4 linked regions of the Arabidopsis thaliana genome follow. The protein of the gene in region 1 interacts with the protein of each later gene in a pairwise test. Each region holds a gene or a part of one and is shown in the gene's direction. Other genes may lie near its edges. The genes, in order: TIP, ETC2, AT1G02040 and AP1.

Evidence for each region.
Region 2: the proteins of TIP (region 1) and ETC2 interact in a two-hybrid assay, tested with the Arabidopsis thaliana proteins (one large-scale study listed by BioGRID).
Region 3: the proteins of TIP (region 1) and AT1G02040 interact in a two-hybrid assay, tested with the Arabidopsis thaliana proteins (one large-scale study listed by BioGRID).
Region 4: the proteins of TIP (region 1) and AP1 interact in a two-hybrid assay, tested with the Arabidopsis thaliana proteins (one large-scale study listed by BioGRID).

The regions. Positions count from the first base shown.
Region 1 is NC_003076.8:8,414,297-8,422,884, reverse strand, and holds TIP (TCV-interacting protein), read left to right. Parts: upstream 1-3,808; 5' UTR 3,809-4,161; coding exon 4,162-4,339; intron 4,340-4,531; coding exon 4,532-4,812; intron 4,813-4,904; coding exon 4,905-5,162; intron 5,163-5,247; coding exon 5,248-5,706; intron 5,707-5,785; coding exon 5,786-5,965; 3' UTR 5,966-6,510; downstream 6,511-8,588. Other genes in the region: AT5G24600 (TRP-like ion channel protein (Protein of unknown function, DUF599)), read left to right, coding at 511-1,095.
Region 2 is NC_003071.7:12,958,444-12,965,659, reverse strand, and holds ETC2 (Homeodomain-like superfamily protein), read left to right. Parts: upstream 1-3,497; 5' UTR 3,498-3,744; coding exon 3,745-3,829; intron 3,830-3,932; coding exon 3,933-4,020; intron 4,021-4,557; coding exon 4,558-4,723; 3' UTR 4,724-4,813; downstream 4,814-7,216. Other genes in the region: TCL2 (Homeodomain-like superfamily protein), read left to right, coding at 192-264, 375-462, 1,013-1,154; KIS (tubulin folding cofactor A (KIESEL)), read right to left, coding at 5,108-5,209, 5,478-5,564, 5,696-5,848. UniProt on the Arabidopsis thaliana protein: MYB-type transcription factor involved in epidermal cell fate specification. Acts as a negative regulator of trichome development, by mediating lateral inhibition.
Region 3 is NC_003070.9:355,520-362,767, reverse strand, and holds AT1G02040 (C2H2-type zinc finger family protein), read left to right. Parts: upstream 1-3,689; coding exon 3,690-4,664; 3' UTR 4,665-4,862; downstream 4,863-7,248. Other genes in the region: AT1G02060 (Tetratricopeptide repeat (TPR)-like superfamily protein), read left to right, coding at 1-1,850; LAP6 (Chalcone and stilbene synthase family protein), read left to right, coding at 2,327-2,528, 2,619-3,604; AT1G02030 (C2H2-like zinc finger protein), read left to right, coding at 6,580-7,248.
Region 4 is NC_003070.9:25,980,246-25,990,378, reverse strand, and holds AP1 (K-box region and MADS-box transcription factor family protein), read left to right. Parts: upstream 1-4,029; 5' UTR 4,030-4,276; coding exon 4,277-4,461; intron 4,462-5,441; exon of another isoform or gene 5,442-5,627; intron 5,628-5,803; coding exon 5,804-5,882; intron 5,883-5,982; coding exon 5,983-6,047; intron 6,048-6,140; coding exon 6,141-6,240; intron 6,241-6,471; coding exon 6,472-6,513; intron 6,514-6,599; coding exon 6,600-6,641; intron 6,642-7,120; coding exon 7,121-7,275; intron 7,276-7,443; coding exon of another isoform or gene 7,444-7,480; exon of another isoform or gene 7,481-7,700; coding exon 7,701-7,803; 3' UTR 7,804-8,085; downstream 8,086-10,133. Other genes in the region: AT1G69100 (Eukaryotic aspartyl protease family protein), read right to left, coding at 8,943-9,036, 9,116-9,192, 9,278-9,406, 9,494-9,993, 10,077-10,133. UniProt on the Arabidopsis thaliana protein: Transcription factor that promotes early floral meristem identity in synergy with LEAFY. Is required subsequently for the transition of an inflorescence meristem into a floral meristem. Is indispensable for normal development of sepals and petals in flowers.

The DNA.
Region 1 (8,588 bases):
TAAGTGTATGCATGTGTAGAGATTTTCCTGGGAAAGAAAATACTGACAACAGTTTCAGGTCCTTTTGTATTGGATTGGAGGATGTGAGGTTGAGATTCTATCTCACTATGTGCATATATAAAGTTTAGTATATGGTTTATATATAAATATGAGTATAATTCTAAGTATAATCATCATGCATGCACCTCATAAATTGATACTAATATTGAAAGTTGAAACAGTATCAAGTTGTTTTTCTTTCTTCTTTTGCTCAGATTTTTTCTTTTCTATGTGAACATAATTATGTTAAAGTTCTTTACGTTAATGCAAGATTTTGAACATTTCCTTACTAAATGAATCCGCAAGTGTGAAAGCTAACAACACTCAAAAGATGCTTTGCATTTTTGGGAAACTTTTTTTTGAAAAAAATGTTTATAATTACATTATTTCCTCCACCAATTTTTTTCACTTTTTGTTGGATTTGAGATTTCTTGTACTAACTTATGTTCCGTTAACAACTATTGTAAACAGGACTCATCCAAAAACGGCGTTTTAGCGGTTCAAACGCTAAGGAACAACATAATGGCATCAACTCTATTAGCATCAACCGCAATAATGTTATGTTCACTAATCGCGGTACTAATGACTAGCGCTACAGGAGAGCGATCAGTCTGGTTTGTGTTTGGAGACAAAAGCGACCGAGCCTTCTCGCTCAAGTTCTTCGCAATCCTCGTGTGTTTCCTAGTCGCGTTTCTCCTCAATGTCCAATCAATTCGTTATTACAGCCATGCAAGCATCCTTATCAATGTCCCCTTTAAACAGCTCATGGCTGTTTCTTCAGGTGGTCGTGGTAATGGTAGTCTTATGATAAACCAAGATTATGTGGCTGCAACGGTTAACCGTGGGAGTTACTTCTGGTCGTTAGGACTACGAGCGTTCTACTTCTCCTCGCCTTTATTCCTATGGATCTTTGGTCCCATCCCAATGTTCATAACTTGTTGCGTTCTTGTTTGTTCGTTGTACTTCCTTGATTTAACGTTTGACTCGATGAAATGTAGCGTTGGAGCCGCAGACGCGGAGGAGCCCGAGATTAGAAGCTTAGCTCAGAATGTTTAGTAGTTTTTTTTTAATTTGATAATGGTTAGGGGTTCAGATATATTGAAGAGAGTTTTGTTCAATGGAACATACAAATCTTGTAAGTTGTATTGATTCAGGTTCAATGGTAGTTGAACCGTGTCAAAGTGTCACTCTGTAACCAAGTGAAGAAATTTGTTGTCATTTAACCGTAAAATTGTCAATTTTACTGATGTCAAAGATATATATATTTTTTTGGTAATTTTGCATATGCATATGGTATATATGGATCATATATATTCCATGTTTATTTTCAACCCTTTACTTTAAAAGTTACGAAGAATTTAGAACAAATTACAAATATGGACTTGGATCAAAAATGTTCATAAATTCTACTTCTATAGCTTTTTCTTTCCCCGTTTATAATATATGGTATTCGGAGGTAACATTTTTCTTATTTTTTCTGTCAACCACATTAATTGTTTGAGATCTCTTTAACCCTTTTGTAGTTAGGACAAATGTTAAGAATCCATAATAGTAAAACTAAATATGTATTTATTTTTGGAGCTTTTATTTTTAATCTTTTTTTAAAACACTATATATATAGTGGGTGGTTTTCTATATTTTTTTAACTAACGTTGATATAGGATTTAACCCACGATATACCGTGGGACAATTTGTGTTTCGCACAATCTTGATTCGATATGTTTAATATTGGTAGTGTAACAAAATAATAAAATGAAAAGAGCAATTGGGTAGGGTCGGATCATCATGAGATATTTAGTAATTTAACAACTTGTAGTTTTGGTGACTTCTTAAATTTTGATCAGATAGAACATAGCCACTAAGTAGGATCATGAGGAAATACATAATTTTCTAAATAAAATAAAAATAAAAAGAGAGATTTCCACATATTCAAGTTTTAATATTTTTTCTTTGTTTTTCAAATAAATTAAAACTAAACTAAAATCCACATCTAATTACCATTCAAATTTTTCAAACAACTAACATTTACACCAAAAAAAAAAATTACAAACTAAAATTCGAAAGCCAAAAACTATTTTAAAAGCTACATACATTTATGATTTTAAACAACGGAAAATAAAATATTTCCAGAAACTGAACTTTGAGATAGAAAGTAAACGTCTTTAGTAACTAAGTGATTGGTTGGCATGTCACCGTAAATTATTCGCTGTAAAATTTTGACCGTCAGCGTGTAAAATGCAACCGTGTATTTTATTGTTATACGTGTAGATATTAGGGATATAAAGTCTTAGAAGTAAATTTATTAGTCGTATCTTAAAATATGATTAGTAAATATTTTATAAAATATTATAGTTAACCAAACTATATAATAAACAACAACACAAATTTTGTGATGCACATATAGGTTAAATGGAATCTATATAAACATGTAAAATAGTTTATATGTTAGTCGGATAATAACTACATATTAGTTGAAAAGAATATATACATATAAATTTTTTGTTCAAATGTTGTTCAAAATTTATACATAAGTATACATTAACAAACAAAACTATACATGGTATTTATACTATTAGTATATATCCATCTAGTGCCTAGTGTACATTATATAAGCAACACATAAAAAATGATCATGAGGAAATAAAATTAAAATAAAAGAGAGATTAAATTAAAAATATAACTTATAGAACTTATAACAACATATGGTTTTAGGTTGTAGAAATATAAGATTTACGGTCACAAGATTTTTTTTTTTTCTAAAACTAATTCACAACAATTTGGTCTTCACAAAAACAATTATGGTTGTAAAAGATTACATTCCAACTAATCAAACACTATAAGAGACTATCCTCAAACTAGAAACGCAGAGGTCTAAACCCAAAAACAAAACAAAAAGCAATGACTTAGATAAACTTTGTTGGATATGGGCTTCGCCCCATTTAACATTCGGAGGCCCAAACAAAGAGTCATTGAAAACCTCAGTTAAGAATGATGAAGACCAGCCCCCCTGAGAAAGCCGCAGCCCATTGCGAGATGAGGCCCATTTTCTGGAAAGGATCAGCCGCCATAGAAGTTTCATATCGCTCAGAAAATGGTACTGTGTACTTTCATTGAAGTACTATAAATATTGACAGAGGAATGCCAGAAAAGGACACCTGAAGTCGGACGAGAATAGTACAAGAACATTCTCATTCGGATTCAAAGACATAAGCTCGACAATTGACTTGTGTAGTTTTATTCTTGTTGTATCTCTTAAAACGAGGCTTGGCTGTAAACATATCTTGTAAACGGCCGAACGTTAAGTTTAGATAAATAAGATCTTCCTTTTCGCTCGCTACTTTCTTCTCTGTTTTTGAGGTTTAGTTTTGAGTACCAACGGACTTCGATATCAAACGTTTTAAAGTTTAAACCTATTTGATTTACATTATTTGGTTTAAATAAATTGATTCAGACTTCACACGACCAAGAAAAAAAAATGGTTGAATTGGGTTCTCATCTATTGGGCTTTAACAACAAACACTATTAGTAAGATGGGCTGGCCAGTTGTGTAAACTGTTTCATATTGGTAAATCAATATGATACCAATTAAGTTTATTTAATTCTTCTTTAACTTCCGTACAACTATCACGAAGCTTCCTTTATAGCATCAACGTGTCAATATATGATTCGCTAGGTGACATCTCTCGTTCAGACATCCTCACCTTTTGACTCATATAACCCCTATTTCCGTAACTATTTTACTGCAATACTTCAGGGGTAAAATAGGTATTTACATTCTGTTTTGCCTTTTACGCGTAACGAACGTGGTTTTGTGTTTTATGACTTTCTGGGAAACAGTGGTACGCCTATCCACGCGCCACTTTTTCATCTCTTTGTCTTTGATATCTCTCTTGTCTGACCAAATCGTGTCACATCTCCTTCTTCTCCACTTTACCAAATCGTGTCAAATTTTAGGGTTTTTTCTTTTCGTACTTCATCAAATTCTGGAATCTGGTTTTTTCTTAGTTTTCTTCTATATACCTTTGAATCGCATCTTTGATCCAAATTCATTTTAGATATCACCTTGAAGTCGAATTTGTGATTTTTTCTTTTCCTCTCGAATTCTCAAAGTCTCACGCAACTATGAAAGAAGACATGGAAGTACTATCGCTCGCTTCACTACCGGTTGGGTTCAGATTTAGTCCAACGGACGAAGAGTTAGTCCGGTACTATCTCCGGCTCAAGATCAACGGTCACGATAACGACGTTAGAGTAATTCGTGAGATCGATATCTGCAAATGGGAGCCTTGGGATTTGCCTGGTAATTCCTTTCTTCATCAAATCAATTCGTTGATTCATCTTTAGCTCTTTAGTCTCGGTTTAGCAATTCCCAGGCTTCAATTCCGGTTTATGCATGTTTGAATTTGGAACAATATGATCAATAACTTCTTAGCTTAGGTAGTGGACTTAGTGAATTTGAGTAAAGATTTATACTTTAGTATTTGTGGTGTAGATTTTTCTGTGGTGAAGACAACAGACTCAGAGTGGCTCTTCTTTTGTCCTTTGGACCGGAAATATCCGAGTGGAAGTCGAATGAATAGAGCTACTGTGGCTGGATACTGGAAGGCGACGGGAAAAGACCGTAAGATCAAATCAGGAAAGACTAAGATTATAGGTGTTAAGAGGACTCTAGTGTTTTATACAGGTCGTGCTCCTAAAGGGACACGAACTTGTTGGATTATGCATGAGTATCGTGCTACTGAGAAGGATCTTGATGGAACAAAGTCTGGCCAGGTAAAAACCAACTTGGCAAATGATGGCATTAACTTGTGTGTGTAGGTCTTTTGTGTTTCTGATTGTGTTTGTTTGATTGTTTTTGGTTGCAGAATCCGTTTGTTGTTTGTAAGTTGTTTAAGAAGCAAGATATTGTGAACGGAGCTGCTGAACCAGAAGAGTCAAAGTCATGTGAAGTTGAACCAGCGGTATCGTCTCCAACTGTTGTGGACGAGGTTGAAATGTCTGAGGTATCTCCTGTTTTCCCTAAAACAGAAGAGACTAATCCTTGTGACGTCGCAGAGTCTTCTCTTGTAATCCCCAGCGAATGTCGTAGTGGATACTCTGTCCCTGAGGTTACAACCACCGGGGTAAGGATGAACAAAATACATTCTTTTCATTACAGGAGGCGGTACAACCGCTTTGTAAACTTACAAACTTCATTTTACTCAACAGCTTGACGATATCGATTGGCTCTCGTTTATGGAGTTTGATTCCCCGAAGCTGTTCTCTCCGTTGCACTCTCAGGTGCAATCTGAGCTCGGTTCCTCTTTCAATGGCTTACAATCTGAGTCTAGTGAATTGTTCAAAAACCACAATGAGGATTACATTCAGACTCAGTACGGTACAAATGATGCGGATGAATATATGTCCAAGTTCTTGGATTCTTTTCTTGACATTCCCTATGAGCCAGAACAGATCCCATATGAGCCACAGAATCTTAGCTCATGCAACAAGATCAATGATGAATCTAAGAGAGGAATTAAGATTAGAGCTCGACGAGCACAAGCCCCGGGTTGTGCTGAGCAGTTTGTAATGCAGGGCGATGCCTCAAGAAGGCTGCGTCTTCAGGTTAACCTTAACAGCCACAAGTCAGAAACTGACAGTACACAACTTCAATTTATCAAGAAAGAGGTGAGAAGAAGTTTGTTTTCATACCTTCTCATGTATTACAATTTATGATCCTTATATTTATGCGATAAAATGTATATAGGTTAAGGACACAACAACGGAAACTATGACGAAAGGATGTGGAAATTTCACAAGATCAAAGAGCAGGACTAGTTTCATATTCAAGAAAATTGCAGCCATGGGATGTTCATACAGAGGGCTTTTCAGAGTCGGTGTGGTAGCGGTTGTGTGTGTGATGTCGGTCTGCAGTCTAGTCGCATAAATCCGCTGAATGTGATGTTTGTTCCGATCAATTCATATAGTAAGAATAAAGAAAGTGGTTTTTACGGGTGGAGAGAGCGCGGATTTGTGTGTATAACAGGGGTTTTGGCCTGGTTCTGCATCTGTTGTTATTGTTGTTGTTTTTGTCGGCTTAAGCTTAACCATGGTCGGTTTAGGAGTGTAGTAGACTTGTAGTTAACATGTACGACGACTCATAATATTCAGATGGTAATGTTTGGAAATTTTTTTATTCCTGACCACATGTGTCTTGAGATTGCGTTTTTGACATTTTTAGTAGCCTTGTACAATCAGAAACAAACTACGAGTTCGAATGGTAGCACCGTAATGAAAACGGTGTCAAACATGTTAGTACGAACCGACCGGGTAGAGATATTTATTAGAGGTGTGTTTATTTCGTATATCATTAAACATGTTTAGTATGATAGGACGGTTTGATTGAGGGTATGGACTGTTAAACATGTCATTTGGGTATTTTATGGCATTAAGTATGCCCAGTAATATATTACAAAATTTTTGGACAAAAGAATGCATATTTGAATAGTTCAAATAATATGATCACCTCTCTTTTCTCTCCTTCATATCTTTTAGAGAGAGGAACTGTTGAATTCTGCCGACCGGATTATTCTGGTAAACTGCCGTCCCAAGTTTTGGGCTTTTGCCCGACATCTTTTTGGCTTTGTTAGCAAAGATGGCCGGTCCTCTTCTGGCAAATCCGGCTTCTACAAGAATAATTGTATCCTTACTACTTAATTGTATGGACCAAGAATAAAATTTCAAAATTTAGTTGTTTTCTTGATATCTGTAAAAAAAATTAAACAACACTTACAATAAGACATAGGAAGCAGTTTGTATCAATATTACTGTCGTGTTGCTTTGGAATAAAACCCAAAATACGTAAGTACCAAAACAATTATTAGACTTTTTAAATGTGTTAGCTGATATAAGTAGTATATATCAATGTTGTATCATACTTTGAATAAAACTCAAAATTATGTGTGAGTAAGAAAAGAAAATACAATTCTTTCCAATATATAAAAACATCGTAAATGCATAAAATATGTGCATTCGAATCTTAACGCCATTGCAGTTGGACTCATGTCTCCACATGCGATGCACCGAACACCAACTAACTTTATCTCAACTATTTTTAGAATTCACGTATCATGTTCTTTAATCAATTTAATATTTCGATTATAAATTTATAATGACCAAAGAAGGTGATGCACACTTTTAAAGCGTAAATATACAATAGTGGATATGAATGACTCGATGCTTGATCATTAACATGGCACATTACATAAAACAAAAGTCTATAAATTTCTTTTAAGTTTTATTAAAAACGGATGACAAGAAAAGAGAGTCTATAAACTTATTTTAGCAGAGAAACTAATTCGGTTGTGGCATAGAGTTATTTTTTTATATGGTTTAGTCAATATGGCTTTTTGTATTTTTGACTTTTTGGATATACTTTTGAATCAGATTAAAGTCGCATATTGCCGGTTGGTATAAAAGGAACTTCATGTTAATTCCAGAACGATCTGAAAAATCTTCCATAAATCAATTTTATTTAACAAATGCAAAAACCATTAGTACGTAAAATTAACCTATAAAAAACCAGAGGTTATTTATTGTCTTGATTTTTGATCTGCGATAACATCTGCTGAGTTTTGAGTTATACAAACCACTCAAGTCTCAACATTGAGATTTTTTCAGGTCCATTTGGATAAAACAATAGTTGAAACCCATAAAGATAGTGCGCGTCAAAAGTAAATTATACATTGAGACTCAAACTGTGAAAACGATCGGATACAAATTACATGTCAATTATTATTACTTAAAGTTCATTTTATAGCAGGTATACCAAAAAGTTAAGTCCAAATTCGCAGTTTTAGAGGAATTTTTTACTACAAGTAAAGTGATAATATCATCAGTTTTACCAAACGATGGAGACCAATTTTAGTTTGTAGCATAATATAGAAAGTATAAACTAATTTAGAGATGGACACAAGGTAAAATACAAGTGATTCATTTTTCAGCTGTTGTGTATGAAAAATTGTTTTATATGTTACTTTTATTCGTTCGAAACGGATATTCAACATTTTACATTAAAAAAAATTTCGTTGCAGGTTATTATGAAAAAAATACATTTCTATTGTACCGTTTTAATATTTTTATAACAAACACTAAAAATATCATTTACCTCTGTAACAAAAAAAAAATCATTTGCCTGAAAAATTCTTCAATTTCATTACCTAATCCACTCCAAACAATTACATAGTAAAAATGAGATTTTTGTTATTTACGAATACTTTCATTCTTATAAGCAATACAGTGGATATACTAAATTTAAAATTTTGTAACTCTTTAAGACTTATTAAAAATTATTGCCAAACTCACCAAGAAATATGGAAATAAATGTACTTTTTTGTTAAATCATATTTGGATAAAAGATGGACTCATAGATACGCACAAAAATGTATACATTCAGCATATTGTGTAAGCTGAGTCAGCTCCAGGTGTTTGGGCACATGTAAACATGGACCCGACCTTTTTACCTCTTTTTCTGTTATAAGTTTTTAAAATAAAATTAGATTACTTCACAA
Region 2 (7,216 bases), on another chromosome or scaffold:
GCAAGTCTACTGGTCCAGTAGTCCTCATTACGGTAGCTTGGGACCTCCTTTTCTATATCTCTCTCTTTACTCTTCGTCACAAGTTTTCTATATAGTTTTCTCTACCTCACATCTACTTTTTTTTCATTGCATTCTCCAACTCCAAAATCATCAGTTGTATATTATTTGTCCTCTTTCACTTTCAAATACCAATGGATAACACCAACCGTCTTCGTCACCTTCGCAGTCGTAAGCAATCCAAGTTCACTCTAGGGGATACCGCAGGTTTCTCTTTAATTTAGTTTATAAATTATAATCATCCATTTAACTTAGCTACGTCCTCCAATTTTCATTGATATTCATATTTGATTGAAATATAACTAACTAAAATGCAGAGGTAAATAGTGTGAAATGGGAGTTTATCAATATGACGGAACAAGAAGAAGATCTCATCTTTCGAATGCACAGACTTGTTGGTGATAGGTAACATCTTCTTCTTCTGTGTATAGATATGTCGTTCCATATTAAATTTTATATCTTCTTTTTTTCTCTATATACAATCTTACATGAAGTAACTCATGTCTTTTTTGTATCTTAGCTATCTTTAGATTCTCTCATGTACTTTTTTCAACCCTTTAACAGCATTATACTATATAACAACTTTCAAAAAAAAAAAAAAAATCTTACGACATAATTATTTTACTTATATGATAATGCTCGAGATAACTGTGGGATAACTCTTTTATATTAGCATATATCACTTCCAAATATGCTTGGCTAGCTCATAAACGTTGGTACGAATTTTGAGTATTAATCATGTATACTCTTGATGTTACTTTTTTGAAAATTCTTATATATTTTATAATTAGAACATATTTTAAAACCAAGATTTACTTTTCTCTCTATTAATTAATTCAATTCACTATAGAAAATATAGTTATCAAATTTAAATAATGTTTTTTATAACATATGCAAACATTCATAATGAAATAGCTAATTAAAAAGATTTTGGCCATGAACTGAATAATACTAGGTGGGATTTAATAGCAGGAAGAGTGGTAGGACGAGAGGCAAAGGACATAGAAAGATATTGGATTATGAGAAACTGTGATCATTGTTCCCACAAACGACGCCGAGTCCACAAATTTTACCGTTTCTCTATTTCTCCTCCTTAATTTTATGTTATTATGGACAAGATAAAAGCTTTAAGTTGTTGAGTAGAACAAAACTTCGATCGATATTTATTCTTCTCATCAATGGTTGTCTAAGTTATTGTCAATTCTACAAGTTGTGCCACTCGTCTTGTTCCAACTATACATTTTGTAACTCCGTCAAAAATATTGATAGGAAAAAATAATGATTAAACGAGGATATTTTGAAGTTAGTAGATAGCAAAGAAAGAAGATTAATAAAATTCCTAGTGTCATAAATTATCGTGAAATTTAGCGTTTACCATTCCGACAAAGATGAAGGACCACTCACACACACCTTACACTCAGATGGTATAATCATTCATCTTCTCGAGCTACCTCTATTCTTGTCTTTAATTAACTTCTGGCCCTTCCTTTCCTCCGCCATTTAAATTATAATTCCACTTGCAATTCATTTGTGTTTAAGAGTTAATTTACGGTTAAGAAAGAGTTCTGACGATGGAAAATGTTTTAACTAACATGCAAGTAAGGAGTTGTATAAGCTAATATAAGACTCCTAACTCCTTACGTGCATCATAAAAGTATGGGGATCCCTAAAAGAATGCATGAGTTACTTAAGGTTAATTCCACCCACATGCTATCACCATAATTAACAAACCACTCTCAATCAATACTATCAAATCACATAATCTCATGCTTAAGAGTTAAGACACCTAAATCGTTCATACAATCATGCTCACATTCACATATCATATACATTCAATTTCATGCACATGTTCGTATGCACTATTGTTCGTAACCACTTAGCTATCTCAACCATCCATCATTTCACTATCTTAACCATCGAGCCCTCAGATATAATGCTTGGCATCTCTCCATCTCTTAGTCATCTTGACCCTCAAACTTATCTGATTCTCAAGATAGTGAGAGCTCAGGACTCATAATATAGGAGTTTTAGATTTTGCTCACCATATTGGGCCATTAAGCCCTGTTTCCTTTTTTAGTCCAATCAGATCCTATAATTCCAGTGTATACCAAGCTTCCTGATCTTTAAACACTTTTAGGCAAATATAATTTCTTGTCCTTTCTTACTTAGAACCATTCTTCACATGAGAACCATCATTTGTGTATATATATTAATAACTTTCAAAACCTTAATAATGATCACGACATAAAATCTTTATAATGAGAGCGGGTCATTACAGGTGAACTCCTTTGTCCGTCATATCAGCCGTCTTAGAAGCTCGTATGTGCCCAATACTCTCAGGACCAGCCCTGAGCTCGTATGCATTAATTACTGATCTGGTTTTAAAATTTGTATATATACGTACATAGCCATATGGGATACTTCAAATGTATGATTTTGTCTCGACAGCTTTTACAAGTTTAGTCGAAGTGACCAGACAACAGCTGCAATCCGAAAGCATGTTTCAATGAAGTCGTTCTAGTCCATGACTGAAAATTTGTTATACTGAATGTTGTCGATAACTTTCCTTTTGTTAACGAATGCTTGTCGATAAATTTATATATATCCAGTATTATGATCACATAATGATAAATTAGAGGAATTTCATATTTTTGAATTGGTCTTAGCTAATACGTACCACGTAGGATCAATTTTCTCCTAACCTACTTCTTTAATATATAGTGGGTAAAATCATAAATGGTTCATTCTGATTTCACGCTGAGAAAATGATATGCTCATTATATAAGTACCGATTTCTCTAAGACAACTTTCAATCTGTCAGGAAAAGAAATTGATACGTCCGTTTCTTACAGTTACTGCATTTATTATCACTGAGACGATAATTGAGTTCTGTAGATGCATAAATAGGAATTATCTGTAGGGCATGCATATGTAAAATTAGACACACACAAAAAAATCTAAAGAGAAAAAAGCACAAGAAAACAAAAGTTTTGTTGGATTTTGCTAGTATTATTTACGACCCACAAATCTATATCACAACACGAAATTAACGGTTTATGGACTTTTTTTGTCCAATTTTCACGAAGTCGAAAATTTCGGGGAAAAAATTTCACCTAATGTTATTGGAGAACTGTAAAATAAAATTATAGATTATGTACATCCACATTCCACAGCCATCTCCGTCCGTAAAAATTTCTAAAATATAAAAAGAAAAACTGTGATTTTAAATTAGAACTTGTAGGATTACGTGTTCATAATATTTATTGAGAAGTGTATTTGCATGTGATGTTTTTCACTCGATTTTAATACGTTACTAGGCAAAAAAATAAAACTAGCACGCCATTTTAGTGACTGTTAAAATGTTCTGTTATAGGTCAGAAACAAAATCTGATCAAAATTTATTGTGAGCATTATGAACTTTTTGGAATAGTAAAAAACAAATCGAACGTATCACGAAATTATGTTTTGACGTATTCGATCGGGATATATAAAAACAAAAATGTGAATTATAAATTTAGGAATATATACGTAGAAATTCCAATAAAAAATAAATCACCTATCTCTCTCTCTCTCTTTTTATATAACTATTTTTTTCCCTCACATCTTTTCTATATCTTGCATTCTCCAAACTCTACATTTTCAGTTTCTCTGTAAATTTATCTAATATTCTTCTATTTTCCAGTAGTTATGGATAATACCAACCGTCTTCGTCTTCGTCGCGGTCCCAGTCTTAGGCAAACTAAGTTCACTCGATCCCGATATGACTCTGAAGGTCTCTCTTCAATTCATTACTCTACACTCATCCTCCTAACTCGTCAGCGTTAAATTATCTTCTCATTTAATTTTTGTTTGGATAAAACGAAACAAAAATGCAGAAGTGAGTAGCATCGAATGGGAGTTTATCAGTATGACCGAACAAGAAGAAGATCTCATCTCTCGAATGTACAGACTTGTCGGTAATAGGTAACAAATTCTCTTCTTCTGTCATGTCCGATTCAACATATTTTAAAAACAACTAGTATTTTATAAAATTAAAAAAAAAAAAAAAAAAACTAGTATTTTATAATTTAAAAAAAATTCACATGGCGAGAGTAACAAATCAAAGCTGATAAAGTGTTATGTTATGGTAAACATGATTCTAGAGTAGTTTAGACTTTCGAACGTGTTTCGAGAAAAATGACATGCCAATATTTAAGCAATGACATGAGTATTTTACTTGTATAATTTCAAAAAAAGTTTTATGTTGTTGATAAACTGATAAAATGTATAATTAACAGAAACTAAAATTTCTTCTTTTCTTAAAGTGTGATGATTTTAAAAACAGTGAAAGGATTGAATAATATATTGGCTCTTGAATATTATTGTCTTTATATATATACATTTTAAATTTCATTTCTGCATTATATATGTTGACTCCTGAATTTTGATAAATGTTTTTTCAGAATTTTGTGCTCGTCTATAATTCAAAAACACATTATATGCTTGAATATTGATTGTCAGGTGGGATTTAATAGCAGGAAGAGTCGTAGGAAGAAAGGCAAATGAGATTGAGAGATACTGGATTATGAGAAACTCTGACTATTTTTCTCACAAACGACGACGTCTTAATAATTCTCCCTTTTTTTCTACTTCTCCTCTTAATCTCCAAGAAAATCTAAAATTGTAAAGAAATCAAAATAAAAGCTTTCAATCATAAAAGTAGAACAAATCTTGAATGTCTTCTCATCATATAAATGGTTCAGAAATTGTTGAATCTCTTCGCAAAACAAATTAGAATAAGATCACCTTTTCTAAATCCGTGCTCTTAATCTTCACTTAGTTTACAATCATGGTTGTCAAAGTTATATCAATTATCAATCGTTAAGTTGCAGCTTACAACACATTATAGCAAGTGTGCCATTTCAAAGATATTGAATGAAAGAACAATCACCAAAATGTTAAAGAAAGATATTTTTAGTGTATACAGTCGACAAGCAACCTTAGATATAAAGATTCTTACAGATGATTAACCATTCTCAGAATACAGATTTAACACTCATCGCTGGCTAAATCAGGCATCTTCAGTGGGAAACTGCTTCTCCACATCCGCGACTGTCTTCTTTGCATCTTCGATCTCTGGACCTTCCTTCTCATCCGTCTCTTCCAATTCCGCCTGCAAATTCAGTTTTCATTAGAGACAAAAGACAGAGTACGAATTCACAGTTTCCTCTGTGTCCTTATTCATCATTTTTCCTCAAAGAGAGACTAAGATGGTTTCATGCAGGGGATTAATCCAATCGCTATAGATACATATAAAAGTTATAGTTTGATAATGTACTACTGCTCTTAAACTTCAAATCACCGCTCAGCGTTTCTTATAAACTAATACATAAAGCTAGACCGACGCTTAGCAAGCAATAACAATGGAAAATGTAGTTTACCAAAGTGGACTTGAGGTCAGCCAATGCAGACTCGAGACGTTTGTGGCAATCCGGAATCATCATCCTAGACTCACCCAACACATTTTCCTGCATCACCACATACACAGATTAGGAAAAACCAAGTCTAAACACAGCACAACACAGCATTTCTAGATTCTGACGAACAAAGACGGGCTCCGAATCTTCGAATACAGAGAGATAAACAATGAAATCTGTACCTGTTGTTTAAGGTCGTAGGGATCAGCACCTTTGTCCTTCATATCAGCAGTCTTAGCCGCTTCTCTCTCAACTTCTTTCTCATAAGAGTGAAGCTCTTTCACAATCCTTTTACATGTTGATGTTTTTATCTTCAAGTTCCTTATCGTTGCCATTGGATTCTGAGCAAGTACCAAACACAGGACAACCAAAATTAGGGTTTCTACATCACCAGCGAAACAACTCAAACGCAACGATTCTATAACTAGGTTTTGCGATCTCCTTTAAACTTCGATGTCGAATTTGAAATTGAAATAGGGCGATTAGATCAAGACTAATGTAGGTGATAATTCTACGATTCGTGCATTGCAATAGATCGGGAACATTTTGGAATTCATCGATTTCTTTTACTTGATTCCGATCTACATTGAGATCGACACAAAGCTAGATTCGATTGAAAATTAAAGGAAGATATACTGTGAAATAGAAGAAGTAGGGTTTAGAAACGAACCAGGCGATGATGGGAGAAGAAGGTTGCTTCCGATGAATTTGAGAGAGAGGACGCGGCGTAGAGCGAGGAGGAATCGAAGAACAACAATATACAGTTTCCGATTTCGATTTCTTCTTTTTCCTTTGCTTTCAATTCTGAATTATTAAAAAAAAAACTTAATACTGGATATGCACTCACTTGTGTGCTCGCATTACGACATAAAAATGTAATTTGAGTTTTATTTCATTTCTTTGACAAAAAAAAAAAAAAAAGTTTTATTTCATTTATTTACCCTTTTTTATAGATATAAAATATGTAAATCAAACTTTTATATCGTACAATTTAAGTATATATTTTGTGTTTTATTATGTCAAGTTCATTCATTAATTTTAAATTTGATACAACAAAAGAATAATGTAGAAAGTCAAGTATACAATGATGGATGAATGGATTTACATAATGCTTTTTTGGTACGTAAACGTTAGTATTTGCTAACAAAGTATTAGTTGCGTTATTTTTTTCAGAACAATCAATCCTAATTTTAAATATTTTTATTAAAAACACTATGATACATATTAATTTACATTATAATTTGTTATTGAAAATAAAAACGGAGCAATTTTGTCATAGGTTTTTTTTTTGTCAACCACACAAAAATGGTTTACAAATTACAATGTAACTTTAAAAAATGGTATACAACTACACTAACAACCATAGGTCACAAGAAACCACACTTGCTATTTTTTCTAGATCCAAATTTCACAATTTAAAACCACACAAATTTTCTAGAAGGAATCAATATTTGGAATGCCATTTAATAAAACTTTAACTGTTATTTTTAAATATATTGAATTTAAAACGAACTTTGAATGTTTGTGTAGTTTTAGACGAACAACTAATTTGTCAAGTTAGCTAGGTGATCAAGATAGAAAAAAGTTCGTGTGAATCATATTTTGTTCATGAAAATTTGGTGTAGTTTATGGTTATGAGGTTATCTCATATCTATGTATAAAATTAGAATGTAGAATTTTGTCTGACATACTTGTTTAAAACT
Region 3 (7,248 bases), on another chromosome or scaffold:
GGTTTTCTCACAAAGAGCAGTCTTTCTTCCTCATGTTAGAGTTCCTCGGTCGAGCTCGCAATCTCAATGTGGCTCGCAATTTCTTGTTCTCCATCGAGAGAAGGTCTAATGGCTGCGTCAAGCTCCAGGATCGCTACTTCAACAGCTTGATTAGGAGCTACGGGAACGCTGGGCTCTTCCAGGAGTCAGTGAAGCTGTTCCAGACCATGAAGCAGATGGGCATCTCCCCTTCCGTTCTTACCTTCAACAGTCTTCTCTCCATTTTGCTCAAGCGTGGCAGAACTGGAATGGCCCATGACTTGTTCGACGAAATGCGTCGTACCTACGGGGTTACCCCAGACTCCTATACTTTCAATACATTGATAAATGGGTTTTGTAAGAACTCCATGGTCGATGAAGCCTTTAGGATTTTTAAGGATATGGAGCTGTATCATTGCAATCCTGACGTTGTTACATATAACACGATCATCGATGGGTTATGCAGAGCCGGCAAGGTCAAGATTGCACATAATGTTTTGAGTGGAATGTTGAAGAAAGCAACCGATGTGCATCCCAACGTTGTTAGTTACACTACTCTGGTGCGAGGCTATTGTATGAAGCAGGAAATTGATGAAGCAGTGCTTGTGTTTCATGACATGCTGAGTAGAGGGCTGAAACCCAATGCTGTTACTTACAATACTCTGATCAAGGGGCTCTCTGAGGCTCACAGATATGATGAGATCAAAGATATCTTGATTGGAGGGAACGACGCATTTACCACTTTCGCTCCAGATGCCTGCACTTTTAATATTTTGATCAAAGCCCACTGCGATGCTGGTCATTTGGATGCAGCGATGAAGGTGTTCCAAGAAATGCTGAATATGAAGTTGCATCCTGATTCAGCTTCTTATAGTGTTTTGATTCGTACTCTGTGCATGAGAAACGAATTTGATAGAGCTGAGACATTGTTCAATGAGTTATTTGAGAAGGAAGTATTGTTAGGTAAGGATGAATGCAAGCCTCTCGCTGCAGCTTATAACCCAATGTTTGAATACTTATGTGCCAATGGGAAAACAAAACAAGCGGAGAAAGTTTTCAGGCAGCTGATGAAAAGAGGAGTGCAAGATCCGCCCTCTTACAAGACTTTGATAACGGGTCACTGCAGAGAAGGTAAATTCAAGCCTGCTTATGAGCTGTTGGTTCTAATGCTCAGGCGGGAATTTGTACCTGATCTTGAAACTTACGAGTTATTGATTGATGGACTGTTGAAGATAGGTGAAGCTCTTCTTGCTCACGATACCCTACAAAGGATGCTAAGGAGCTCTTATCTTCCTGTTGCAACCACTTTCCATTCTGTACTTGCAGAACTTGCGAAAAGGAAATTTGCTAACGAGTCTTTCTGCTTGGTAACGCTAATGTTGGAAAAACGAATAAGACAGAACATTGATCTTTCAACGCAGGTTGTCAGATTGCTTTTTAGTAGTGCACAGAAAGAGAAGGCATTTCTGATTGTTAGGTTGCTTTATGATAACGGGTATTTGGTTAAGATGGAGGAATTACTTGGTTACCTCTGCGAGAATAGAAAACTACTTGATGCACATACACTTGTTCTGTTTTGTCTGGAAAAAAGTCAAATGGTAGATATCGACACATGCAACACGGTCATAGAAGGACTCTGTAAGCATAAGAGACACTCTGAAGCGTTTAGTTTGTACAATGAATTAGTAGAACTAGGAAACCACCAACAGCTTAGCTGCCACGTGGTTTTGAGGAATGCCTTAGAGGCTGCTGGAAAGTGGGAAGAACTTCAGTTTGTGTCAAAGAGGATGGCTACATTGAGAGAATCAGATGATTGCTCTGTATTAGAATGAAGGATAGACCGTGCATCTGGTTTCTGGTAAACAGGATCCTCTCTCTTTGTTCCGTTTTCAATTCTGTGTCTAAAATTATCCATTGGCAATTGTAAAATTTTTGGCCCTCAGCAATTAAGCAAGTTTGTATTCATCGTGTCTGTTACAGGTCTCTATGGACGTTGCAACTCTCTGTTCCTAACTTTCACCTTCATGGTACCTATTTCCTAAGTAGATTAGGCTTATATTACTTATCCCGGGAAAATAGGTTTCATGGTGTTTTTTGCATTTCTAACCAACACAGGCCAAAGAATCACCAAACCCTAATAAAATAACCGTTTCTCTCTTTACATGATCTTCACTCTTCAGCACCAAACTCTCCCCAAGAAAACCCTCAACCCTTCCTTTATAATCCTTTGCCATTTGCTGATATTCTGCATCCACCATCTTTCTTCCCAATATCTAATTGAGTTTTTTCCTTCTGCGCTTGAAAAGAAATGTCGAATTCTAGGATGAATGGTGTTGAGAAGCTAAGCAGCAAATCCACAAGGCGTGTCGCAAATGCCGGAAAGGCAACACTGCTTGCTCTTGGCAAAGCCTTCCCAAGCCAAGTCGTTCCTCAGGAGAATCTAGTGGAAGGATTTCTACGAGACACCAAATGTGATGACGCGTTTATCAAAGAAAAGCTGGAACACTTGTGTAAGCCTCAGTCTCTTTATATTTTTTTCAGACAGCTATGCTCTCTTGTGAAATGCTGAAAGCTTTCTAATGTTTTGTGCTGTTGTTTAGGCAAAACGACAACCGTGAAGACGCGATACACTGTGTTGACGCGAGAGATACTGGCTAAATACCCTGAGCTAACAACAGAGGGTTCACCAACAATCAAGCAAAGACTTGAAATTGCAAACGAGGCGGTTGTGGAAATGGCATTGGAAGCCAGTTTAGGTTGCATCAAGGAATGGGGAAGGCCAGTGGAAGACATCACTCACATTGTCTACGTTTCCTCAAGCGAGATCCGTTTACCCGGTGGTGACCTTTACCTCTCAGCAAAGCTAGGCCTGAGGAATGACGTGAACAGAGTGATGCTGTATTTTCTGGGATGCTACGGAGGTGTGACTGGCCTCCGTGTGGCCAAAGACATTGCTGAGAACAACCCCGGAAGCCGTGTTCTGCTCACAACCTCTGAAACCACCATTCTCGGATTTCGGCCACCAAACAAAGCGCGTCCGTACGACCTAGTTGGAGCTGCTCTGTTTGGAGATGGTGCAGCTGCTGTGATCATCGGAGCTGACCCGAGAGAGTGTGAAGCTCCTTTCATGGAGCTGCACTATGCGGTTCAGCAGTTCTTGCCGGGGACACAGAACGTGATCGAGGGGAGGTTGACTGAGGAAGGCATAAACTTCAAGCTTGGACGAGACCTCCCGCAGAAGATAGAGGAGAACATAGAAGAGTTCTGCAAGAAGCTGATGGGAAAGGCTGGCGATGAGTCGATGGAGTTCAATGACATGTTCTGGGCTGTTCATCCAGGAGGACCTGCGATTCTGAACCGTCTGGAGACAAAACTGAAGCTGGAGAAAGAGAAGCTGGAGAGCAGCAGAAGGGCGTTGGTGGATTACGGGAACGTGAGCAGCAACACGATACTGTATGTGATGGAGTATATGAGAGATGAGCTGAAGAAGAAAGGTGACGCAGCACAAGAGTGGGGACTTGGCTTAGCTTTCGGACCTGGAATCACCTTCGAAGGCCTTCTCATCCGCAGCCTCACCTCTTCCTAATTGTTATAATTTACATTTGGGTTATAAACATATTGTAAGCATGAAATGAGAGTATTATTTGTTAAACAACATCTATATAGAATAGATGCATGTGACTAGGAATGTTGGAAAAAGTCAAAAGTTGCACCACGTGTCGTTAAAGCAAGTGCTTAGCTACTTGGAACCACATGAACAAGAAGACACCAAACCCGTTACTTCCACTAAAAACAAGGGCTTTCTTCTTTTTAATTCACACCAAAACACTTTGAACACACACATGCATGGAGCCATGAACTCACCATGCATTGATTTCGTAATGTTCAGTCGTGGACAACACGATGAGGACAACATGTCACGTCGTCCTCCGTGGAAGAGGGAGAGATCGATGTCCACTCAGCATCATCATCTTAACTTGTCTCCAAACGAAGACGAAGAGCTTGCCAACTGTCTTGTCTTGTTGTCCAATTCAGGGGATGCGCATGGTGGTGATCAGCATAAACAACATGGACATGGTAAGGGCAAAACCGTCAAAAAGCAAAAAACCGCCCAGGTTTTCCAATGCAAAGCTTGCAAGAAGGTGTTCACGTCGCATCAGGCATTGGGTGGACACAGGGCAAGCCACAAGAAAGTGAAGGGTTGTTTTGCCTCTCAAGATAAAGAAGAGGAAGAGGAAGAGGAATACAAAGAAGACGACGACGACAACGACGAGGACGAAGATGAGGAGGAGGATGAGGAAGACAAATCAACGGCTCATATCGCAAGAAAGAGATCCAACGCTCACGAATGCACCATCTGCCATCGCGTCTTCTCTTCGGGACAGGCCTTAGGAGGCCACAAGCGATGCCATTGGCTAACACCTTCCAATTATCTTCGTATGACGTCGCTCCACGATCATCATCATTCCGTCGGCAGACCGCAGCCGTTAGATCAACCATCTCTCGATCTCAACTTAGCTTGCCAAGAATATTCCGTCGATCCAACGGCCATGAGCGTAGGGATGATCGAGAGAGATGGTGGTGGCAATAATCACAACGCTACTTCATCTTCGTGGTTAAAACTCGCAAGTGGTGATTGGTCTTGACGACTGACTAATTTAATTAAGTTGCTAATTATATTCTTTTAACTTTCATTCGTTTATATTCTTTACATATATACAATTAAGTGCATGAGTTTATATATAGAGTTTATGGATTTATATGAATTACACTTGGCGTCTTCTGCAGATTTAGAGAGCCATAAGGAGTTCTAGTCCAATATATACAAAGATATAAGTAAGAAATTAAGTTTCACAACTAGTTAATATACAAGATAGATAATTGTATCATTTTTTATTATTATATACGTTGAGAATAAAGTAAGATAACCAAGGGCTCCTTGCTCATATAAGCGCAAATGTTTTAATTTCATGTTTGTAATCTTACAGAGTGATATAATTTACTTGTTAAGCCATCAAGAAGGAGATATAATTTTGAAGTTTTCCAGAAAAGAAATTGTAAATTCGAAATTAAGAAATCACAAAGAAGAAAAATATCAAATAAATAAACGAATATCACGTATCAAATAACTCTCGTGATATGCCCATATATATTTTAATCATGTTAATAATCAAAAGGCTCTTACTACACTGAAAACACATGAACATGAGTCAACGCCTCAACGGAATTGATAATTTTGGTGGTTCTTAATTAAGCACCGATTGCAAGGAAAGGGTCATTTCTCTCAATACGATTACAAGAAAAGAGTCATTTTTATCTCGCATATATGTTATTAATGAGTGGTTGCCATTACAAGTTATGAACTTTTGACTTTAGGAAGCCCACCAACCATCAGCTGAAAACTAGGATTAGCGGGGGGAATTTGATTAATGTCAACTGATATCCTCCAATTTCTCTTTGAGAAAAGCTCAAGCAAAGTATATGACTCTTTGGGCCACTCAAAAGATCTTTAATCAATTAACTTGAGGACATGTACTTTAACAACAATTGACACATATAGACACGTACAAGAGTTGCACGCTATTGATACAAGGAAATTTTGGTCTAGTATGAGGTAATAACGTCTCAACGAGATAAGGTTAAAATTATTTAGACATGCTTGGGAAAATATTTTTGTTAGTAGAAATTTGTAGAGTAATGAAATTTAGATTCTTATATTGAAATTTCATCCAAATAAATGACAAGAGGTGAGTCAACACCAAAAGGGCGTGTGAGTATGAGAGTCAAAGATAGCACTAACTATACGATGCGGGAAGTCAGCAGTTTAGTCACACGTGTCAACCTATGATTTAAGGAGAGTTGGTGTATTTGTCACAGAATCATTAAAATTTGGTAAAGTTAGAAATAGAGGGGCCAGTGCTAGTGTTGTTTAGTCGTTACAACAAAACCTCAACGGTTTTTGTTTGCAACTTTACCAAAATGAATACCCTCATCCACAAACTCTTTTCTAATCAACAAAGTATTGAAATTTTCAGTTACATACTAGTATTTACTATTTACATACTAGTATTTTTGGGCTAGTAGAAGAGTGTATTTGAAAAATTAGAGGAGAAAAAAAGTCAGCGTGGAGGAATAAAGGTGTGAGATCGCATGTTACATGTTTGATCAACGGCTCTTCACTTCATCATTCAATACTCTTTTTTTTTTCTTTTTTTTTGGCTCAATCTGTCAATAAAATAAGAAAAACATAACTGATAATTATATATATTTAGAGGCTTATTTGTATTTATGTTTACACAACAGACAGGTCTTTTATTTAGCCGTTTCTGATATTAAAAAAGAAAGTAAACTGCTTTCGTTGATATTCTTAAGTATCCCATTAATTCTTTTCCTTAAAAAGAAAACATTAACTTGTTGTTGGGACTTCGTATATTAGCTTAAGTGTTGGTGGAAGAGTGCTTGTAACCTACTCCGACTTCTTCTTCTTCTTCTTCTTATATTCTCCCTCTCTCTCTCTCTCCTTTTTCTTCTATTTCTGCTCTGTTTTGGTAAATTGAGGAAATGGAAGAGAGGCATAAGTGCAAGTTATGTTGGAAGAGCTTCGCTAATGGAAGGGCTTTGGGAGGTCACATGAGGTCTCACATGCTCATTCACCCTCTCCCCAGTCAGCCCGAGTCATATTCGTCTTCCATGGCTGATCCAGGGTTTGTTCTTCAGGACAGAGAGAGTGAAACCGAGTCGTCCAAGAAGCCCTCCCGCAAACGATCCAGACTTAACCGGAGATCCATCTCATCATTACGTCATCAACAATCCAACGAAGAAGGGAAAAGTGAAACCGCAAGAGCAGCAGATATCAAGATCGGGGTTCAAGAACTCAGTGAGTCGTGTACGGAGCAGGAACCGATGAGTTCGGTGTCGGACGCTGCAACAACGGAAGAAGACGTGGCCTTGAGTCTCATGTTGCTGTCGAGAGACAAGTGGGAGAAGGAGGAAGAGGAAAGTGATGAAGAGAGATGGAAGAAGAAGAGGAATAAGTGGTTCGAGTGCGAGACTTGCGAGAAAGTGTTTAAGTCGTATCAGGCGTTAGGGGGACACAGAGCAAGCCACAAGAAGAAGATAGCAGAAACAGATCAATTAGGCTCAGATGAGTTGAAGAAGAAGAAGAAGAAGAGTACTAGTAGTCACCATGAATGTCCAATCTGTGCCAAAGTCTTCACATCTGGTCAAGCT
Region 4 (10,133 bases), on another chromosome or scaffold:
TAAGATAAGCGTTTATTTAAATGAACAAAGATATGGAAGGAGTGGCTTTGATTCAGTTACCGGATTGGCGCTTTTGCCTCTTCGTTTTTGTTTTTTGTTTTCTTTCATTATAGATCTTCGTTTTTGTTGCCATTGTGCCAAACACAGAGATCCATCCATCTGTATATTTTCATAATGAAGGGCAAAAATATCATGATTTTTCTACATGTTTTCTATTTTATTTATTTGCTTTCTTTTTAAAATAAATAAATCCTAAATTAGAATCAAAATTAAGAACCCAGAAAATCATAGTTTTTTTTAATTAAAAATATCGCAGGTTAACCAATGCAATACAAAAAAACTATTTTTTCTTAAAATATTTGAGAAGAGTCGGTTATTTTGATCTTGACCTACATAAATTTGTTACAATTTAAGCGAGAACCACTAGTCCACCTCAAGTTGGTTTCTCATATGTCACATTTTTGTTATTAATTCACACAAAAAAATCGATTAGTGAAGAGACCACCTGAGAGGAAGTGGAATGGAAACAAAATATTGATGGTTGGAAGTTGGAACGATGCTGACAAAAACAAAAATGGCCTATACAGGGATCGAACCTGTGACCTTCGCGTTATTAGCACGACGCTCTAACCAACTGAGCTAATAGGCCTTTGATGAAACCAATGATACAACTAAGATTTATTTAACAGACAAAGCTTGGAACCAAAGCTTAATGGGCCTTGAAATACAATTTGGGATTTTGATCAAAAGTATTCAAAGCCTACTTACTCCAAAACAAAGCTCACGGACCTTGGATCTGAAGTTATGAACAATAACATATTTGGCAAAACAAAGAAAAAAGAAACAACAATACTAACATATTTTGGTAAAAGAACATTGAGAAGTCTCAAAAATTAACTTCTTCTTATTTTGTTTCCTAATAAGACCGTTTGCTTCATTTCAAGTTCTTAGGAAATAATTTCATGTAACGTGTATGTAGATATGTTTATGTACAGATAAAGAGAGATCTGAAAATGATATATAGAGCTTTTGTGGTGATAAGTGCAACAAGCAGGATATATATATCGAACGTGGTGGTTAGAAGATAGCGTCAAAATAGATGCTAGCTGCTGCGTATACATCATATTCATATCATATGTACTTCTCTTTTGTGATTTCTCATGTGATTGAACATACTACATAAATCTTGATAGATTTATAAAAATGCAACAAATTGTTGTTTATATAAGAAAAATAAAACACTGATATGATATTTCATTAGTTATTATCAAATTTGCAATATAATGTTTAACATCCAAGATTTGTTTTACATAATCGTTACGGTTACTAAAGTTTAATTTATGATGTTTTAAAACAAATTGAGACTAAATTTCTAAAAGAAACATATACGTACATGTGTGTAGCTGCGTATATATATAGAATGGTGGGGCTAAAAGCTAATGATGTGTACATTAATTGGACATTTGATGTGGCTGGATTGGACCCAACTTGCTCTTTGATAGAGACCTAACTAAGACAATTTTGCTCTTCATTCATTTCTCCCGTATACATAATTGAATTAACTGTACATAATGTTTCACAACAAGCGATCTAGCTATATATTTCAAAATAACAGAGACTGATATTTTAATCTGGTCTTCTAAGCTCTAACGTCAAATTAAAAAAAAAATCCGATCTTCTAATTAATTAGAAGAAATCAATTATAGAACCTCTCTCTTTAATTTCATTTATTTAAAACTGCTTGGAAATTTAATTATTCACTAAAGACTCACTATTCTCCTTAATTTATGATAATTTGTAGATCATATGTTCAGTTTTTATTTATTTGCCATTCGAATGTTGAGTTTTAATTAAACCAATATGTTAATATTCGAATTAAAAAAACTTACCTATAATTCACTTATTTAAAAACATAAAATAATAATAATTGCATCACCGTGATACAAAGCAACCTCACAAGTCACAACTCTCGTGACTACAAAGATCACTCATTAAACAAACCTTCCTGCCTTCTTTTTTTCTACTTGGGCACCTCGACCGATCGAAGACTATTCTTGGGATCTGCTTCAAAAACGACTATATGTTCTAAATCCACTTCGTATGATGACGAACATTTGGTTTACTACTGAAGATAGAGATTACGTCCTTCTAATTAGAAGTAATTAATTATTTTAGTATTTGGAAGCTAATGGTGGAGATGTAACCGTATCTTAGTGGATCGAGATATTGTATATAAAATATGTATGCTACATCGAATAATAAACTGAAAGAGAGTAAAAAGGGATATTTAATGGGAAGAAAAGAAGGGTGGAGATGTAACAAAGGCGAAGATAATGGATATTCTTGGGATGTTGTCTTCAAGGCCACGAGCTTAGATTCTTTTAGTTTTGCTCAATTTGTTAAGTTTCTACTTTTCCTTTTGTTGCTTACTACTTTTGCTCATGATCTCCATATACATATCATACATATATATAGTATACTATCTTTAGACTGATTTCTCTATACACTATCTTTTAACTTATGTATCGTTTCAAAACTCAGGACGTACATGTTTAAATTTGGTTATATAACCACGACCATTTCAAGTATATATGTCATACCATACCAGATTTAATATAACTTCTATGAAGAAAATACATAAAGTTGGATTAAAATGCAAGTGACATCTTTTTAGCATAGGTTCATTTGGCATAGAAGAAATATATAACTAAAAATGAACTTTAACTTAAATAGATTTTACTATATTACAATTTTTTCTTTTTACATGGTCTAATTTATTTTTCTAAAATTAGTATAATTGTTGTTTTGATGAAACAATAATACCGTAAGCAATAGTTGCTAAAAGATGTCCAAATATTTATAAATTACAAAGTAAATCAAATAAGGAAGAAGACACGTGGAAAACACCAAATAAGAGAAGAAATGGAAAAAACAGAAAGAAATTTTTTAACAAGAAAAATCAATTAGTCCTCAAACCTGAGATATTTAAAGTAATCAACTAAAACAGGAACACTTGACTAACAAAGAAATTTGAAACGTGGTCCAACTTTCACTTAATTATATTGTTTTCTCTAAGGCTTATGCAATATATGCCTTAAGCAAATGCCGAATCTGTTTTTTTTTTTTTTGTTATTGGATATTGACTGAAAATAAGGGGTTTTTTCACACTTGAAGATCTCAAAAGAGAAAACTATTACAACGGAAATTCATTGTAAAAGAAGTGATTAAGCAAATTGAGCAAAGGTTTTTATGTGGTTTATTTCATTATATGATTGACATCAAATTGTATATATATGGTTGTTTTATTTAACAATATATATGGATATAACGTACAAACTAAATATGTTTGATTGACGAAAAAAAATATATGTATGTTTGATTAACAACATAGCACATATTCAACTGATTTTTGTCCTGATCATCTACAACTTAATAAGAACACACAACATTGAACAAATCTTTGACAAAATACTATTTTTGGGTTTGAAATTTTGAATACTTACAATTATTCTTCTCGATCTTCCTCTCTTTCCTTAAATCCTGCGTACAAATCCGTCGACGCAATACATTACACAGTTGTCAATTGGTTCTCAGCTCTACCAAAAACATCTATTGCCAAAAGAAAGGTCTATTTGTACTTCACTGTTACAGCTGAGAACATTAAATATAATAAGCAAATTTGATAAAACAAAGGGTTCTCACCTTATTCCAAAAGAATAGTGTAAAATAGGGTAATAGAGAAATGTTAATAAAAGGAAATTAAAAATAGATATTTTGGTTGGTTCAGATTTTGTTTCGTAGATCTACAGGGAAATCTCCGCCGTCAATGCAAAGCGAAGGTGACACTTGGGGAAGGACCAGTGGTCCGTACAATGTTACTTACCCATTTCTCTTCACGAGACGTCGATAATCAAATTGTTTATTTTCATATTTTTAAGTCCGCAGTTTTATTAAAAAATCATGGACCCGACATTAGTACGAGATATACCAATGAGAAGTCGACACGCAAATCCTAAAGAAACCACTGTGGTTTTTGCAAACAAGAGAAACCAGCTTTAGCTTTTCCCTAAAACCACTCTTACCCAAATCTCTCCATAAATAAAGATCCCGAGACTCAAACACAAGTCTTTTTATAAAGGAAAGAAAGAAAAACTTTCCTAATTGGTTCATACCAAAGTCTGAGCTCTTCTTTATATCTCTCTTGTAGTTTCTTATTGGGGGTCTTTGTTTTGTTTGGTTCTTTTAGAGTAAGAAGTTTCTTAAAAAAGGATCAAAAATGGGAAGGGGTAGGGTTCAATTGAAGAGGATAGAGAACAAGATCAATAGACAAGTGACATTCTCGAAAAGAAGAGCTGGTCTTTTGAAGAAAGCTCATGAGATCTCTGTTCTCTGTGATGCTGAAGTTGCTCTTGTTGTCTTCTCCCATAAGGGAAAACTCTTCGAATACTCCACTGATTCTTGGTAACTTCAACTAATTCTTTACTTTTAAAAAAATCTTTTAATCTGCTACTTTATATAGTTTTTTCCCCCTTAAGTTGACTACTTGATTTGCCCTAATTATTCACTACTGCTTTTGTTTATATATTTTCTAGGGCTTCCATTTTTGGATTTTTTGATTAGCCAGAAAAATGTTTAATACAAATTTGTATAATTTAAAAATCAAAACTTTAGGGCCGTAGTGAAGTGAACCCTAGAACACACTAATTATACCATAGTAATTACCTTGATATATTGTGCAATATTTATCAGCATCATATCTTCAAACTCAAGAGCATATAGAAGGGTGTATGTTTAATCTTTGAACTAGGGTTTTGATCCCTAACTCATAATGAATTCTTTTGTTCTCCAATAGCCATGTCTTTCGAATTTGCAGATCTAAGCTCTAATTGATGCCATAGTAAGAAAATAAGATCTGTAGTTTTCACTCGCTCACTGAGTTCGAGTTTTAAATGAAGTGTCGTTTCTTTTTTCATATATAAGTTGCAACTGGATTATAATTAAAAAATATTATGGGACGAGAAAATAAATTAAAATAGATATAGATAATAATGTCAAATTGAGAATTTTTTATTAGAAAGAATATTTAACTTACGAGTTGTTTTTTTTCAGCTGTAAAAGAATATCTAATTTGTTCTCACGACTGTGTCTTCATGTTTTGCAAATCTAAGCAAAGAAAATGTTTAAACTCGGATCTTAAGATTATGAACTCGTAATATAAAACACTATATAGTATTAAATTTGAACTAGTGTTGCTTCTTTTTCTATTTGACTTTAGAAATTAAAACTGAAACAAAGATGTCAAATCTGAGTAGGGAGTCTTTGACCTCTGGGGATCCATAAAAAGAATTAACTCCATCCTAAAATCGGCTTCTTACCGATGGTCAAACTTAGCTCCAACAAGCAACAGCTGTTCTTCTTTTTTTTTTTTTCTTTTTTTTTTTAAGCATTGTCCTTGTTCTGAAAAAAAATAAGATTGGTAAATTGGCAAGATTATAATAATTTATTATAATGTGTCGCATCTAAGAAGATTTTCTGTACCTAATTGTAGCAAAATTAAAGAAACCGCAGTTAGAACTCGAAGCTAAGAGCATAGGGTCTATGATTCATACTGTTTTGTTATTATAAAGGTATCATAGAGATCGGTACTTGATTTGTTATAGGAAATCTTGGTTTAATTGCATAAAACCATCATTAGATTTATCCTAAAATGTGATGATATTTTGGTTACATCTCCATATTATTTATATAATAAAATGATAATTGGTTGATGATAAAGCTAACCCTAATTCTGTGAAATGATCAGTATGGAGAAGATACTTGAACGCTATGAGAGGTACTCTTACGCCGAAAGACAGCTTATTGCACCTGAGTCCGACGTCAATGTATTTCAATAAATATTTCTCCTTTTAATCCACATATATATTATATCAATCTATTTGTAGTATTGATGAATTTTATTTGTATAAAACTTCTGGTACACAGACAAACTGGTCGATGGAGTATAACAGGCTTAAGGCTAAGATTGAGCTTTTGGAGAGAAACCAGAGGTACACATTTACACTCATCACATTTCTATCTAGGAAATCGATCGGGTTCCATTTTAAAGTAAGTTAAAATTCATTGATGCTATTGAAATTCAGGCATTATCTTGGGGAAGACTTGCAAGCAATGAGCCCTAAAGAGCTTCAGAATCTGGAGCAGCAGCTTGACACTGCTCTTAAGCACATCCGCACTAGAAAAGTATTGCCTTCTGCTATTTCGTTGAACATATCTATATAACTTAAACGTTTACAAGTGTTATTATAATGTGAACATTGAAATACATATGTGTATGTATCAATATATATATCAGTAATCAATATCAATTTGATATGTCTATAGGTTGGTTCGAATGTATGAGTTATGTTGTGTATTTTAAGACTCATATTACTTAAAGTAATGGGTTGTTAATGTTGATGTGTGTGTATGCAGAACCAACTTATGTACGAGTCCATCAATGAGCTCCAAAAAAAGGTATGTAAAACCCCTATCAAATGTATGTCTTATAGAGAAACGTATAGGAAAGCTAATTAACAATCGTGCCGTTTCGGAAATGACAGGAGAAGGCCATACAGGAGCAAAACAGCATGCTTTCTAAACAGGTAACACATGTCATCATTTCTCTTTCATCAACATGTTGTCCATTGCATTACTGTTACCTTCCACTGTTCTGCTCCACACTTCCAGCCAAGCTATACCTACGATATCTTCATATCTCCACTTAACTTCGGCACCATTAAATAAAAATAGAAAATCTTTGCAAATTGTTTGAAATAGCATAGATGTTGTCTATTGATTGATATAATCACCAGCCTGTACGTAGATATGGTTTGTCCGTTTAGTTTTAAGGTTGTCTCTCGGATTGAAAATATTTGAAACTTTGAAATGTTGTCCCATCATTCTACTTAGCTCATATCTATGTATATGAATATAGACACTACTCCTAATTATAAAAATGTTATAATAGTTCATTGCATGAGTGCAACTGTGAAAATAACTATTTGTAACCATTGCATATATATAGTTTCTTCACTTTGAAAATTGATGATGATAATATGGTTTGAAATAAATTTGCTGGCAGATCAAGGAGAGGGAAAAAATTCTTAGGGCTCAACAGGAGCAGTGGGATCAGCAGAACCAAGGCCACAATATGCCTCCCCCTCTGCCACCGCAGCAGCACCAAATCCAGCATCCTTACATGCTCTCTCATCAGCCATCTCCTTTTCTCAACATGGGGTAACAAAAAATTACTAATCAGTCTTAATTTAAAGCACATATGTTATGCAAGCTAGTTACGTTAGGTGTTGTAATTTCATTGAAGTTATAGCTGTTAGTGATGGTTACATGATGTCATGATTTTGAAACTAGAAAACTTTATTTTAAAACATTATTTTATTAACGTAGGTTAATGCAATGGTCGCCAAACGAACAAACTTATTAGTGTGGAAAATGTACATGGAATGGTTGCGAAAAGCCTAAGTCGACTTTTTGTTGTTGTTGGTCTATGTGTTTAAGTACAATTTTAGTTTGTTAGATAAATGAAATTAATATATCTTTGACATTTCACAATGGACTGATATTTGATTTTCCTTTGTTGTACGGTGAAACATATGATTACATATGCACTTTCATATATATCCTATGTATGATTGTGAATGCAGTGGTCTGTATCAAGAAGATGATCCTATGGCAATGAGGAGGAATGATCTCGAACTGACTCTTGAACCCGTTTACAACTGCAACCTTGGCTGCTTCGCCGCATGAAGCATTTCCATATATATATTTGTAATCGTCAACAATAAAAACAGTTTGCCACATACATATAAATAGTGGCTAGGCTCTTTTCATCCAATTAATATATTTTGGCAAATGTTCGATGTTCTTATATCATCATATATAAATTAGCAGGCTCCTTTCTTCTTTTGTAATTTGATAAGTTTATTTGCTTCAATATGGAGCAAAATTGTAATATATTTGAAGGTCAGAGAGAATGAACGTGAACTTAATAGATCGGACCTTTTTTTTTTTTTGTTGCATTAAGTTAGGAGTGGCAAAATTTCTTATTATTTCAAGTTTACAACAAGCGAACTTGAGTGGTTGGGCCGTATTAATCGGAATAGAACCCAATTAGAATCAAGGAAGGATGTTGGCCTATAAAGGCCCAGAATTTGCTTCTAATTAGATAAGATAGGCAATAATAACAGTGCCTCCGAATGGATGAGGATCTGTAATGTAACACCCTGGTAGTCTCTCTGATACATTTGTTTGATTAGTGATCGAATAATTAGTGTGTATTGACTTGTTTCATGGAGCTAAGGACACGAGACTTACAGTAAAGGGACCAGTGAAAATGCCCACTAAGGTTCTTAAGATATATCACCACCAGAAAGGCACGTTGTGGTAAGCGTAACTCTCACATTATCTTCTCTTCATCTACATTCAGTAAAATGTTGCTAAACTCAAGAAAAGGCACGTTGTGGTAAGCGTAACTCTCACATTATCTTCTCTTCGTTGTATTCCTGCTAATTTTTTTAGAAAACAATTTCTGTATTAAACATTTTGGTAATTATATTGTTTGGTCTTCATGTTTCAGTTACTACAACTTTATATTTTTTGGTTCTTGAAGAAGTTTCCTTCTTTGGATAGAGGATTGTTGAAGAAGTCAACAGAGCAGAATTAAATGCATAATGAAGAGAATAGGAAAGCAAAGCATAATTTTGATTTTTGAGATAGTCAGATATATGAGTTATTAATTAATTCGTTTTGAGTATAGATAGAAATGACAGATATATAATTCCTTTTTATTAAGAAGTCACGCTTACAGAATAACAATATTGGTTCACATATATATTGTCATAAAATTTAGATAAAACTTGTTTAGTGTACTCTTTTTACTAATTTTCTTATATTGCTTCAGCAAAGCCGATTCTTGGGGTTTTAACATCTCCATAATCAAACACCGTATGGAACTTCGTCATGAAAGCCTCACCCAAGACCCTACATTTAAATCCAATGGTTATTTTCTTAACATATGGGTTAGAGAAAATTTTATTACAACAACTTTAGAGCCTATTACCAGTCTTTACGACGATTTTTAGACTTCACAATACGAAGTCTGCATCTTTTTTTGGGATTTGTCTTCACCTCAACGTACTGAAAAAAAAAAAACATAAAAGAAAAAAAGGTCAAGAAAAAGGCTTTAAAAAACAACTCAAATGATAGAAAAACCTGATCGTACATCATGTTTAGTGAGGCGTAGATGTTTTCCTCCAATTTCGAAGTAGATATCCGGCAAAGCAGGAAACTGCTCGCATCTAATTATTACTTTGGTTGCTCCAATTTCTTTATAGATTTTACCGACAGCTTCCTAAACAGAATGAAACAAAACCAAATATTTTTTACCAACTTATGATACAAACTAAACTATATGCTCACTAAAACTTAATTCTCTTACATCCGGGCCAAAAATGTCAGTCGATCCAGAGTCAACCATTGCTGTGCATTCTACATCATCACAAAAGTTGATCGCTGGTTTACCATTAATGTAAATTTTGGACATTTTGATCTTCCAGCGGTCGTCGCTTAGTTTCATCGGTACATAAACATGTTCTCCCTTGAACTGCTTCGGGTCAAACCCACCAAACATGATCTGGCCACCATTTGGATCTTCTCCTCCATCTCCCTTGTGTGGCCTCAAATATAAAGAGAAAATAGGTTTAGTTATCAACTTTTGTTTCACCATGTTTTCCCAAACCGTGACAGATCCTTGCGCACGTGAAGATTTGATGCCCAACCCAATAACTCCATCAAATTTAACACTTCTGAAGTAAGTATCTGGGTTACGTGCCAAAAATAAATCTTGACTTTTTATTACAACCCCGCCTACGTTAACATTGTCTTGTGCAAGAATACCGACGACACTTCCTGTCTCATATGCAATATTTACTTCTCCCCCTAGAAAATGCGAGGAAGTTTTAATGAAAATATACATTAAAAGAGTTTTTTTTTAAAAAAGTTAAAAGGAAAAATGTTAGTACCTTTCATCAAACGGCATGTCTTGGATGCATCCTTATCAAACTTAGGGTGTTTATGAT